2 linked regions of the Arabidopsis thaliana genome follow. The protein of the gene in region 1 interacts with the protein of each later gene in a pairwise test. Each region holds a gene or a part of one and is shown on either strand. Other genes may lie near its edges.

Region 1 (5,518 bases):
ACAAGAGTTTGCATGTACTGTCGAAGTTTCATAATATCATGATCCATGGCACCAACGATGTTACGTGAAGGCCTTACACCAGTACCAGAACCAGTAGCAGCACCAGCACCAGTAACAGCAGTAGCAGCACCATTACTACCAACTAAATTCTGCATTTGAGAGTTTCCATTATTCTGCGGCACTGTCCCTTGGTTTGGAACCTGCCCAGACCGTTGACCAGACATGTGAGCCTGAACATTCATGTTATCTCTTAAATCTTCGTCGTCGTCTCCTAATTCGTCTTGCAACTAACACTAACAGGCACTGCATAACTCTTCTGTCCCCGAGAAGCCAAAAGATCGAAAGTTCATCTCCTGCTCTTTATTATTCTTACAAGTGATCTCAGTGTAGCAGCTCAATACACCTAGCACCGTCAAGTGTCCTGCAAAATAATATTCCACACTTTCAATTGAAGTGACATGATTGCAATTCAGTCGAACTAGAATCATAGACTATGATCAAAGCAACTAAAACCCAATAGCAAAACCAACAAAATTGTAAACAATTACGAAACAGACAACAGGAGGAGCAATAACCTTGAAATTGACTCACAAAGAAACAAACTTCAGCCGCAAAGAGCAAAACCCAGCAAAAAAAATCTTCCCCAAAAACGTTACTAAAGATTACGATGATCGAATCTTGAAAACGAAGTAGAACGGAGCAATAAAGTCGCTGAACAGCCGATGTCGCACGTGTGAACTCACACAAGCCAGGATAAAAAATAGGATCAAACACAAGTACGTAGACAAATCCCAGAACGAGATTCCTCCAAAACCTAGACGACGAGGAAATTGAAATATCGACAAATTATTTCGAAATCAGAGAAGTCTGAATTCTTCGATTTGGGGATTTTGATTTATTTTTTTTGGCTATTTAGGGATTTTTGGTTTTGATTTTGTAAGTAACAAAAGACACATTAAATAACACTTACCTTATGTTACTTATGTCTGAATACGAATCATCAAGGAACCTCTGTCAAAGTTAATTGGGGGAACCAAGGTCGACAATCCAACAGCCAAGGAGAAGTGTCGGAGATACATGCGCTCCTATCCGTCCGATCAAATGTTCCAGTAATTTAAATCTTCACACCCTTGTAGTTTTTGCTCTGTTTACTTTCGCAACTACTTTTTTTTCTGTACCGATTACCAAGAGTAACTAATAATAAACCATTCAAATTCATACATGTTCCAAGTCTAACCGGAAACAAATCATAACCGGTTTTACCATTCCTACTTTAGATCTTACAATTAGCAATACAGTAGCAATGGAGAAGGCAGAAGCGTTAGTATTGTATATGTTATCATCTTTTCCTTGTAACATAAGCAATGAAAACGTTTCCAAACAAGTCGTAAAAAGAACTTTCTGATAATCTTCATGGCTCAAGGCTCACTGACTTCAGATTCTCAGCAATCTCTGTCTCGCACTGATCTCTGTTCTCATTATCCTGCTCCAAACCAAAAAAATTTGGAACATCACAAAGTTCAGAATGTTTATAATATTACATTTCGAATTATACGCCTCTTAATTAAAGCTCGTGAATAATTCGATGTATGTAATGTACCATTGTGGGTTCAGCAGAGACTCCTGGAGTAGGTGTTATGGTTGTTCCAAGCGTAGAAGAATCAGCATGTTGGTGCTTGTACTTATTCAATTGCCTGCCTTTTATTAAGCTTGTCAAGCGAGATTCAAGAGTTGACGGGTTCAAGTATTCCTCCTGTGAGTTTTGAAGTTAAAAGTGTCAGAAACGAAAATATTTATAAGGGAGGACATATAGCAAACAAGCTGGATTCAGTGACAACATGTCAGAAGGCATCAACCAGTCTTGTTTAGTTAGAACTTAGAAATTCTCAGTAAATCAAATCCTAAATGCTTATAACTAATCAAGTAAATATAATTGATGTACCTTTGTCATAGCCATTTTAAAAAGTCCTTCCTCTAAGCGTTTAGCAGCATCTAAATGCTTCCCCTTTGATGCATCATCATTCGGAAGTGGGTTTCGCTTCTCTAACTGGACGAAGCTGGAAAGATTGGATGATCAGTTAATTTGAAACGTTTCCTCAAATGAGGTAACAACCCATCAAGAAACCCTCTAGTGTGGTTCGGAGATATACACGCAGAGAGGAAAACAACTATGAACACCAATGTGACAAGACTGGAATCCAAATAAGTAACATTTCAGTAGTAGAAACACTAATAGATGATATTGTTTCTTAAGAAACAAAGCAGAAATACATGATCACAGAGCCAAAAAGCAGTAATAAGTTAGATCATTCCCACTTTCCCAGACACATTAACTCAATCCGTAGTACAGCAGCAACTAACAGAGAAAAGGAAAAGAGTGCAAGAGGAACGAGTGAATGTGAAAAATTGAAGGCTTACATAGCGTCTCGCATGGACCGGCGAATCTGGAAAACATCATTGTCCATGGGAGCAAGTGTAACGTGAAATCCCTAAAGCAACACCAATTAACCAGCATAATCATAATCAGTAGTAAAACCAAGCATAAGCAAAGAAAGAAGATACATCTAAACCTCAGATGATAAAACCTAGGACTTCAATCCAACTTTAAAATTTGATACACAAAGAAAGAAGCAATCTTCCACCGCAAAGATCAGAGCCTAGTGAGGAAGATTCTTCCTTACGAGATCAAGAAAACGTAACCTATGATTACGATGAAGAAACAATGTCGCACGTCTAAACTCACGCAAGCCAGGAGGATAAGTAAAATGAGAAATCTCTGAAAGAGATCTTGAAACCGAGAAGTAAAAGAAGATGAGAAAGCGAATTTAAGACGAAATTCCAAATAGAGTAAGTTCCTGAGCTGGAGTTTCTGCCAATCAGAGGTTTTTACTAGATATGCAATTATGCATGTTCATGCCAGTCTATTAAACTACCATTTTACCCTTGTATTTCTCTGTATTTTACATCATTAATGTTCTCTTCAGATATTAGCAATTTTTTGTTAGACACTTGACCGACCGACACTGAGAGTAACAACACCATTGAATCATATCATAATCCATTTACCGCACGGTCCAGCTCAAACCGGAAACAAAGCCAAATTTGATTTTGCCATCGGTATGAACTCAAGAAATACAGATAGCAATAACAGTGCAAAGGCTGAAGCATCTTTATTTGTAACAGAAGCAAACGAAAACGTTTCCTTAAGAATTAGGCAAAAGGCATTTTCGGATCAATATTCAGCGGTAGAGGCTCTCCGACCTCAGATTCTCTGCAATCTCTGTCTCCCACCTATCTCCATTCTCAAGAAGCTTCTCTTTGTCATACAGAAGTTCCTGCACACCAAAAAGAATCAGAATGTCATTTATCGAATAATACACATCTAACTTTAAGATCATGGGCAATCTTATGTCTTTCTGAATTGTTTATACAGACCTCATGTGTCTCGGTTGCAAACTCAAAGTTTGGTCCTTCCACGATTGCATCAACAGGGCAAGCTTCTTGGCAGAAACCACAATAGATGCATTTCGTCATGTCGATATCATACCTGTACAGCTCCGAACAATCACTACACTACGAAATATATAGAAGAACCATAGAGACAAGACAGTATTAAATAATATATATATGGTTAATAAACGGGAACTTAGAGGGTGACCTAGTGGTTCTGCGGCTTCCATCTTCCCGCTCCTCTGCCTCTATTGTGATTGCTTGAGCTGGACATACCTGATGAGCAAAAGACCAGTATCCATGAAAAATCACACTTTATGTCAATATTGTGCTGTGGTATGAATTCTCGAGTAGCATAGACTTCAAAAACTCACAGCTTCGCAGAGTTTGCAGGCAATGCAGCGTTCTTCCCCAGTTGGATACCTTCGAAGAGCGTGTTCACCACGGAAACGAGGGCTCAATGGACCCTTCTCAAAAGGATAATTGATCTGCACAAAAGATAAAACTTGAGAATCAGAATATTTTTCTTTCAGCCTAATTACTAGAGTCAAGGGAGACAGCCACTCACTGTAACTTTTGGATCAAAGAAGTACTTGAGGGTCAGTGACAAACCCCTGACCATTTCAGTGAGAAATAGGGTGTTCATGCTCCGTTCAAAGACTGTAAAAGTAAGAAACATCAGGAATCGCTAAGACTCGCAGAAGGAAGTAATCAGGAAGGAATGCTAAGAGAATAGAAAGGTTGAAAAGTGTCTGGATCAAATAGCTTACCAGTACTCCAGTCCTTGGAGATCTCTTTAGCAAGCTGCTCAGCTTCTTCATCATCTACATATTACCAGAGGCAAAGGATTAGTAACCTATATTCCTGAAAAGTCATAGCCTAAATTAACCAAGAGAACCCAAATGGAAGCAACAAAATTTATACCTTTGTTGCTTCCATAAGATATAGCACGGGACTGTAGCCCACAGAGATGAGATCCCTGTAAACCTTGCCCTGAAAAAGCCTATCAACAAAGACAAGGTAGATGTTAAATGCGAGAAGAATTCCATAGCATAGCCACCAAAAGAGCTATTGAAAGTAAAAGTTAACTACCACGACGCTCTCAGTTAAAGTATTTATATTTGCAGAGATTGAGATAACAACATTTAGGCGATACATTCTCTCTTCAAGGAAGAGTATATGATCTAAAGGAAAAATGAAGCTTCACGATTGATGTACCAACGCAATACAAAGAGATGCATAGAGGAACAATACCCAGGAAAAAAAAAGACAAAAACATGTATAGCAGCACCACTTGCACATGCCTAGAGCCGGCCGGGGCAGACAATACCAACTAGTGATTTCAAAAAACTTAGCAGCAATTCCAAATTTCTAGGAATATAAGCGATATAAAATGGAAGAGCCTACGAGATTCTTACGAGATGTCGAGCTCGGAGAGCACTGAACGACCTGCGAGCTAGTAGCGAAGCCATCGATAGAACTCAAAATATCAAATTAGGGTCTCTCTTCTTCGATGTGCCTGATGTGAGAGAAGAAAATCCGATTAGCTGAAAAGCTTAATCAAGCAAAAGAAGCATTGAACAAGAGAATGACCAACGAAAAGCCTAAAATTCCATCCGAACCTTAAACGCGATACTCAAAAAAGCAAAGCTTCTGCACGAACCCAGAGAAAGTTCGATCTCACAAGAACATTGACACGAATCCTTTGCTGGTGATTCACGGTCGTCGGAACAAAATTCGATCAGATGTCTCTTAATTTACAAATTGACCCTTCTGGTTAACTACTTACTCAGCTCATAACCGGGCAATCAAACCGGTTATATTTGGTATGACAGTCAATTCCTTCCAAGTTTCACACATTTCAGGATCCAGGTTCTCAAGACGTGGACCAAACTAGACCATTGCTGAAAAAAGTTAATACCTGATCAATGGTCACTAACCGGACCTAAAGTTCACAAAGTAGCCGAGATTGATCAATAAACCGGGAAAACCAAAGACTACACAAAATTTAGAGGAGATACAAAGTGTTTTGGTGACAATCTTCACCACCACTGGGGAGGAACTAACG
Region 2 (5,202 bases), on another chromosome or scaffold:
TGGTGATAAATTTCGATTTTCCTAGGACTTCTGAGTCGTATCTACATAGGGTATGTTAAGGGAAGCCGATTTTGGTTTATCTTCTTGAGAACCTGCTCTGTTTTATTTGTTCAAATTGTGAATGGGTTTTTGCTTCATTATATTACCAGGTAGGCAGATCAGGACGATTTGGACACCTTGGGTTGGCTGTGAATTTGGTAACTTATGAGGACCGCTTCAAAATGTTCGTGTTTCTTTTTCTCAACTGGTGTGGCCTCTCTTTTCATAGATGCTATAGCTTTCTTACTCAATTATTTGGTTTCCAACAGGTATCAGACAGAGCAAGAACTTGGAACTGAAATCAAGCCCATACCTTCACTTATCGACAAGGCAATCTACTGTCAGTAACTTCTACCTGGTGTACATTCTCTACCCGGCAAGGCATTGATGGACTAACCGGTGAGACAAATCCCTCTCTAGGCATCTTGACATTAGAACTAACCTGCATTGCTCATAGACCAAATTTCCATTGATTTTGGTTTGCGGTTATTTAGGTGTAGTGAGGAGGCAAATCATTCAGCTTTGGCAGCCACTAGCTCGTTCTAGAGATGAAGGCAACACATAGAGTACTGTACTGAGGCAAGAAGAGACAGTATAGGTGGTTGATGGCGATGGAAGCGGTTGATTGTGTCTAAACCTTTAAAGCAGTACCGGCTTGATTTGGTTTGAATTGAAGACTTCTTCTGCTGCATGATATGAACCTTAAAGTTGTCTTCTCTCATCTCTAATTTTCATGTTCTTAGAAACCTTTTCACCTTTTCATTTTGATGTTCTCTCATCTTGAAGACTTGAGAGGAATTTCCGAGTAGTGAGATCAAACCGAAGAAGACATTTTAACTTCATTCGCTTGTTTATTGCTTTTAGATCTCCACCTGTGCCTGAACTGTTTAAGGATTATAGTTGGTGTGTGTCAAGTCAAGTGTCTTAGCATTTTAAGAGTTACAGATCAGATGTGAAGTCGTACAACTGAAACAAAAGGCAAAACAAGATTTGATGCTTCATACAATTATACTCCATTAATCTTTCACTTTTACACACAATCACCCAATATGTAAACAAGACACAAACGACCAAACAAATAACAAAAACTAAAAAGAGTTGTTGAATCACACAAAAACAAAAGAAGAAGAAAGAAACAGAGATGAATTGTTACAAAGATACAAATTCAATAAAGGCTTAGAAACATCCACACGTTGCCTTTGGTACTACACCAGTGGCTCTATACTTAGCACCCATTTCTTCAGCTTTGAGAAGCTCTTCTCCTTTTTTAGCTTCAACCATTGCTCTCTTCTCTTCTGCTAACTTGTGGATTGCAGCTACTTTGTTCTTCATTTTCTCACCGTACTGCGCTTTTTTCTTCTCTAATTTTTCCTCGATCTTCCTAAGTTGAGCTTCTACGGCTGCTTTCTTGCTATTTTCCCAAGCATGCACATCAGAGATCTTCTTTTGTGCCCTGTCCATTTCAAGATCATCAGAGATCTGTAAGCAATAGTAATCTTTGGGTGAGAAGATGATGAAAGTTTACCTGTTCTCAGCCTTTGACTTCTCACTCTCTTCCCATGCTTTGATGAATGACGTTTTCTTCTCTTTTTCCAAGTCGGCAAGTATCACATCTGACCAAACACACACAACACACATTTGAAGTAAATTACTGAACTAAGTAACTAAGAAACTGGACATGAGAAACAAAGTGTTGTTATCAGCTGACCTCTATCGGCCGAACCAGATGAAGCTTTCTTAGGTGTATGCTCCTCGATGGGTTCTGCAAGAAGCACACTTATAAGTATAACACATGGATATTTGTTGCAAGAAGCTCACTTTTAACTAAGTTAAATTTTGTTGCTCTAATTGGCTAATAAGGTCATCAAAATAGTAGTTTATAAAACGAAACTCCACACAGAAGGAATTACAGATAGTAAATAAAGATGAACAAATGAATGTTCAAGGATTATAAAAACTGCTGGAAAGTTAGTACTTAATTGTTATTTTCCAAGAGTTAAGCAACTTTAAAGGAAGGAAAAAATGTAGGAATATTAAGAAAGTAACCCACTTTCCTTAATTCATAGCTGTCCACAACTAATTTGTCATGATTCCATACACTTTTTGATAACACTAATTACAGGGAACATTGCTTTACTATTAATCATATTTTAATAATATCATCCTCGAAAAACATAATTCTCTTGAAAATGCCATGATGAAGTTGTAAATTCTAACAGCGATGGATTTCACCTAAACAAATAGAGTATAGACCAAGTCATATGCAAAAGAACTCACAAAAACCTTAGGCATCTTAAGAAAATCCATTTGTTAATTGTAAATTGAAACCTTAGTTCCAAACGTAAGAATTCTGAATTACATACTATAATAATTCATCGTAAACATGAATGAATCCTCCTAAGTAGAAGATTAACATATATAAAACACACACGTATGTAAATAGAAAGCTTACTTTCTACAACGGCAAGAGCTTTGGACTCGACGGGAGGTGGATTATGAATTTTCTCATCCGCGACTTCCACCGGAGCAGGAGTCGGTTCCTTCGCCGGAGCTAAAACAGCCGGAGATTCTACGTCAACCTTACTCGTCTTTTGCTCCTCCGCCATTGTCTCTCAGCCGAAGAAGAAGAACAGATTTTATGTTTTTTCCGTGAAAATGGATAAAATTGAGATTTTAGGACAATAATGAGTTAAAGAGTTTTTATATCCTCCGTTAGCTTATACCGGTGGAGCGTACTACGCGCGTTTAATAAGTGTGAGACTCTTGTTTTGCTTCGCCGTTGATTTTTGTACCCATGTGATCGTGCGGCTGTAAAGCTCTCATACGCATTGGATGCGTTACACGTGATTAAACACACCTCACTGCCGACAAGTAAAGTGGTTCAATGATGCCACGTCACCTCTGTAGAAAATTTGTCCTCCCCTTCTTTTTTCCTGATATTCAACAAAACTTAATTCTTCCAATTATACCGAACTAAAATTTTGTTTACCATATAAATTGGTTTAAAATTGAAAATCAGATTTTAGCTGGGATTTTTTTATTATGAGAAAAACAACAATCAAACTACAATCAAGAAAATAAATGATCTATATTATTGCTAATCTTGGCTTAACTAAAAAGTTCGTATTAAAAAACTGAATCTAAATTTGGAGTGAGCTCGTATGCCTATAGAATTGACAGAGTGTCGGGTGTGTATTAAATCTATAATAAAATATCAATCACTCGAATTCATTTAAACAATTATTTTAGTTTTAAAATTTAAGTGGATCAAAGGGTGACGTGGAGCCTCACTGACTCGACACGCTGGAAGACAGATACAAAAAGGATAATGTCTGTGTCTCGCGCGTGTACAAAACTTTCCGGTTATGTGGCGCGTGGTATATGCAATTTAAACTGGTTTAAGCATGTGGTATATGGACTATGAGATGGAGACATCTCTTTTTGTAGGTGTTGGGCTTTTGTGAATCCTAATGGCCCAACGGGTTTTTAAATTTCCTGCCCAACTTGTTTTAATTTAAAGAAAGGTGTAATTTTTTTTCTAACAAAGCAATAAAGTAAATTAATTAAGGCTAATCACTAATCACAGACTCACAGTTTCGAACAGCCTGTGAAAGATGTATTAATGTATTTGTATAATAATAAAAAGTACTCTACAACATGGAATTATTTACGATTAATTATCTGTCTTGTATGATGATGAGTGGTCGAATATGGACTATGATGTCACTGACCTTTATTTAATGGGTTAAGGTTTATCTTCTTTCTTCTTTCTTCGAAGTTCGGATTCTTTTATTCAGTTTAAAGCACTTATAACAAACTTTCCCAAAGAGGACTTTAATTAATTGAACTCTTGCAGTTTTATTTTTGTAGTAAGCAGATTATTTTTCTAAGAACATCAAAGGTCTTGTATTTAGTTATTTACCAATAAATACAACGTTAATAAGAGACGATTATTTGGGAAACATTTGTGTATCACATATCAATGTCCATATGTGATTTGAGCATAGGAATACCAAATATGGATGACCAAATGTCTCCTACTAATTAATAAAATATTATCTATTTAATATTTAAAAACATTTTAACTCTTCGAAAAACTAAAAAGTAAACAAGATTCACACAAAAATATGAACGTCATTAACACAAAAGATGTGAACTCTGGTTAGTGTTGAAGATAACGTGAAACAAGATTCAAATCCTCGTGGAAGAGCACCAATCGATCACCAGAATCAAACCTTTGAGCTTCCTCCTAGCTTCGGTAACGTTTAATCTCACCTGATTCTCGTTTTTCTTCTCTTCCTGTTGAATGTTTGTGAACATAGATATATATAAAGCTGAGATAGATATAGATTCATGCTTCAACGGAAAAGCATGAAGAGGAACAACAACAATCTTCTAACGAACAAGAATAAGTATGTCTATCTTAAAACGGCGTCGCATCCAGCAAAAAGCATCGCTAAAGCTACTCTGTTCCTCGTCACCTCTCTCTTCATATCTGCTGGTCTCTTAGACTTATTGGGTTGTTTCGATTTCGTGAGTTCGAATCTGAAGTAACTTCTTTTTTAGAAACTTTTTATTCAATCAAGTGAATCTTGAACTTGAAGAGTTAATAAATTCATATCTCTCTGTACTTCAGACAACTTTTACAGGTCTGAAGCAGGTAACAACTAGTATCAGAAAATCACCAATCACAAGCCAAAGATTCCCTAACCAATGCGGCGTCGTTCAGAACCAAACTCAATTATTTCCCCAAAATGGCTCCTCGAGAAACAACGACAAACCCAGAAGCAGCCATTCAAGAATATCCACGTGTCCTTCTTACTTCCGTTGGATCCACGAAGATCTACGGCCATGGAAAGAGACAGGTGTAACGAGAGGGATGCTTGAGAAAGCCAGGAGGACGGCGCATTTCAGAGTAGTAATCCTCGACGGGAGAGTGTACGTTAAGAAATATAGAAAGTCAATCCAAACAAGAGACGTTTTTACTCTGTGGGGCATCGTACAGTTACTACGGTGGTACCCAGGTAGGTTACCGGATCTTGAGCTCATGTTTGACCCAGATGATAGACCAACCGTCCGATCTAAAGACTTTCAAGGTCAACAACACCCGGCCCCGCCTCCTTTGTTCCGTTATTGCTCTGATGACGCCAGCTTGGATATTGT

What was found. Proteins that work in one complex are often made in the same cells at the same time.
Region 2: the proteins of AT1G16705 (region 1) and AT2G45820 interact in a two-hybrid assay, tested with the Arabidopsis thaliana proteins (one large-scale study listed by BioGRID).

The regions. Positions count from the first base shown.
Region 1 is NC_003070.9:5,709,416-5,714,933, reverse strand, and holds AT1G16705 (p300/CBP acetyltransferase-related protein-like protein), read right to left. Parts: upstream 2,847-5,518; 5' UTR 2,701-2,846; exon of another isoform or gene 2,490-2,700; 5' UTR 2,466-2,489; coding exon 2,419-2,465; intron 2,058-2,418; coding exon 1,943-2,057; intron 1,754-1,942; coding exon 1,601-1,753; intron 1,487-1,600; coding exon 1,412-1,486; 3' UTR 1,182-1,411; downstream 1-1,181. Other genes in the region: HAC12 (histone acetyltransferase of the CBP family 12), read right to left, coding at 1-242; AT1G16700 (Alpha-helical ferredoxin), read right to left, coding at 3,240-3,335, 3,436-3,547, 3,659-3,726, 3,825-3,938, 4,019-4,110, 4,221-4,274, 4,375-4,453, 4,869-4,922.
Region 2 is NC_003071.7:18,861,932-18,867,133, forward strand, and holds AT2G45820 (Remorin family protein), read right to left. Parts: upstream 2,811-5,202; 5' UTR 2,646-2,810; coding exon 2,492-2,645; intron 1,802-2,491; coding exon 1,748-1,801; intron 1,653-1,747; coding exon 1,565-1,652; intron 1,493-1,564; coding exon 1,216-1,492; 3' UTR 1,022-1,215; downstream 1-1,021. Other genes in the region: AT2G45810 (DEA(D/H)-box RNA helicase family protein), read left to right, coding at 1-50, 150-223, 309-387; DTA2 (downstream target of AGL15 2), read left to right, coding at 4,393-4,572, 4,676-5,202. UniProt on the Arabidopsis thaliana protein: Exhibits a non sequence-specific DNA-binding activity.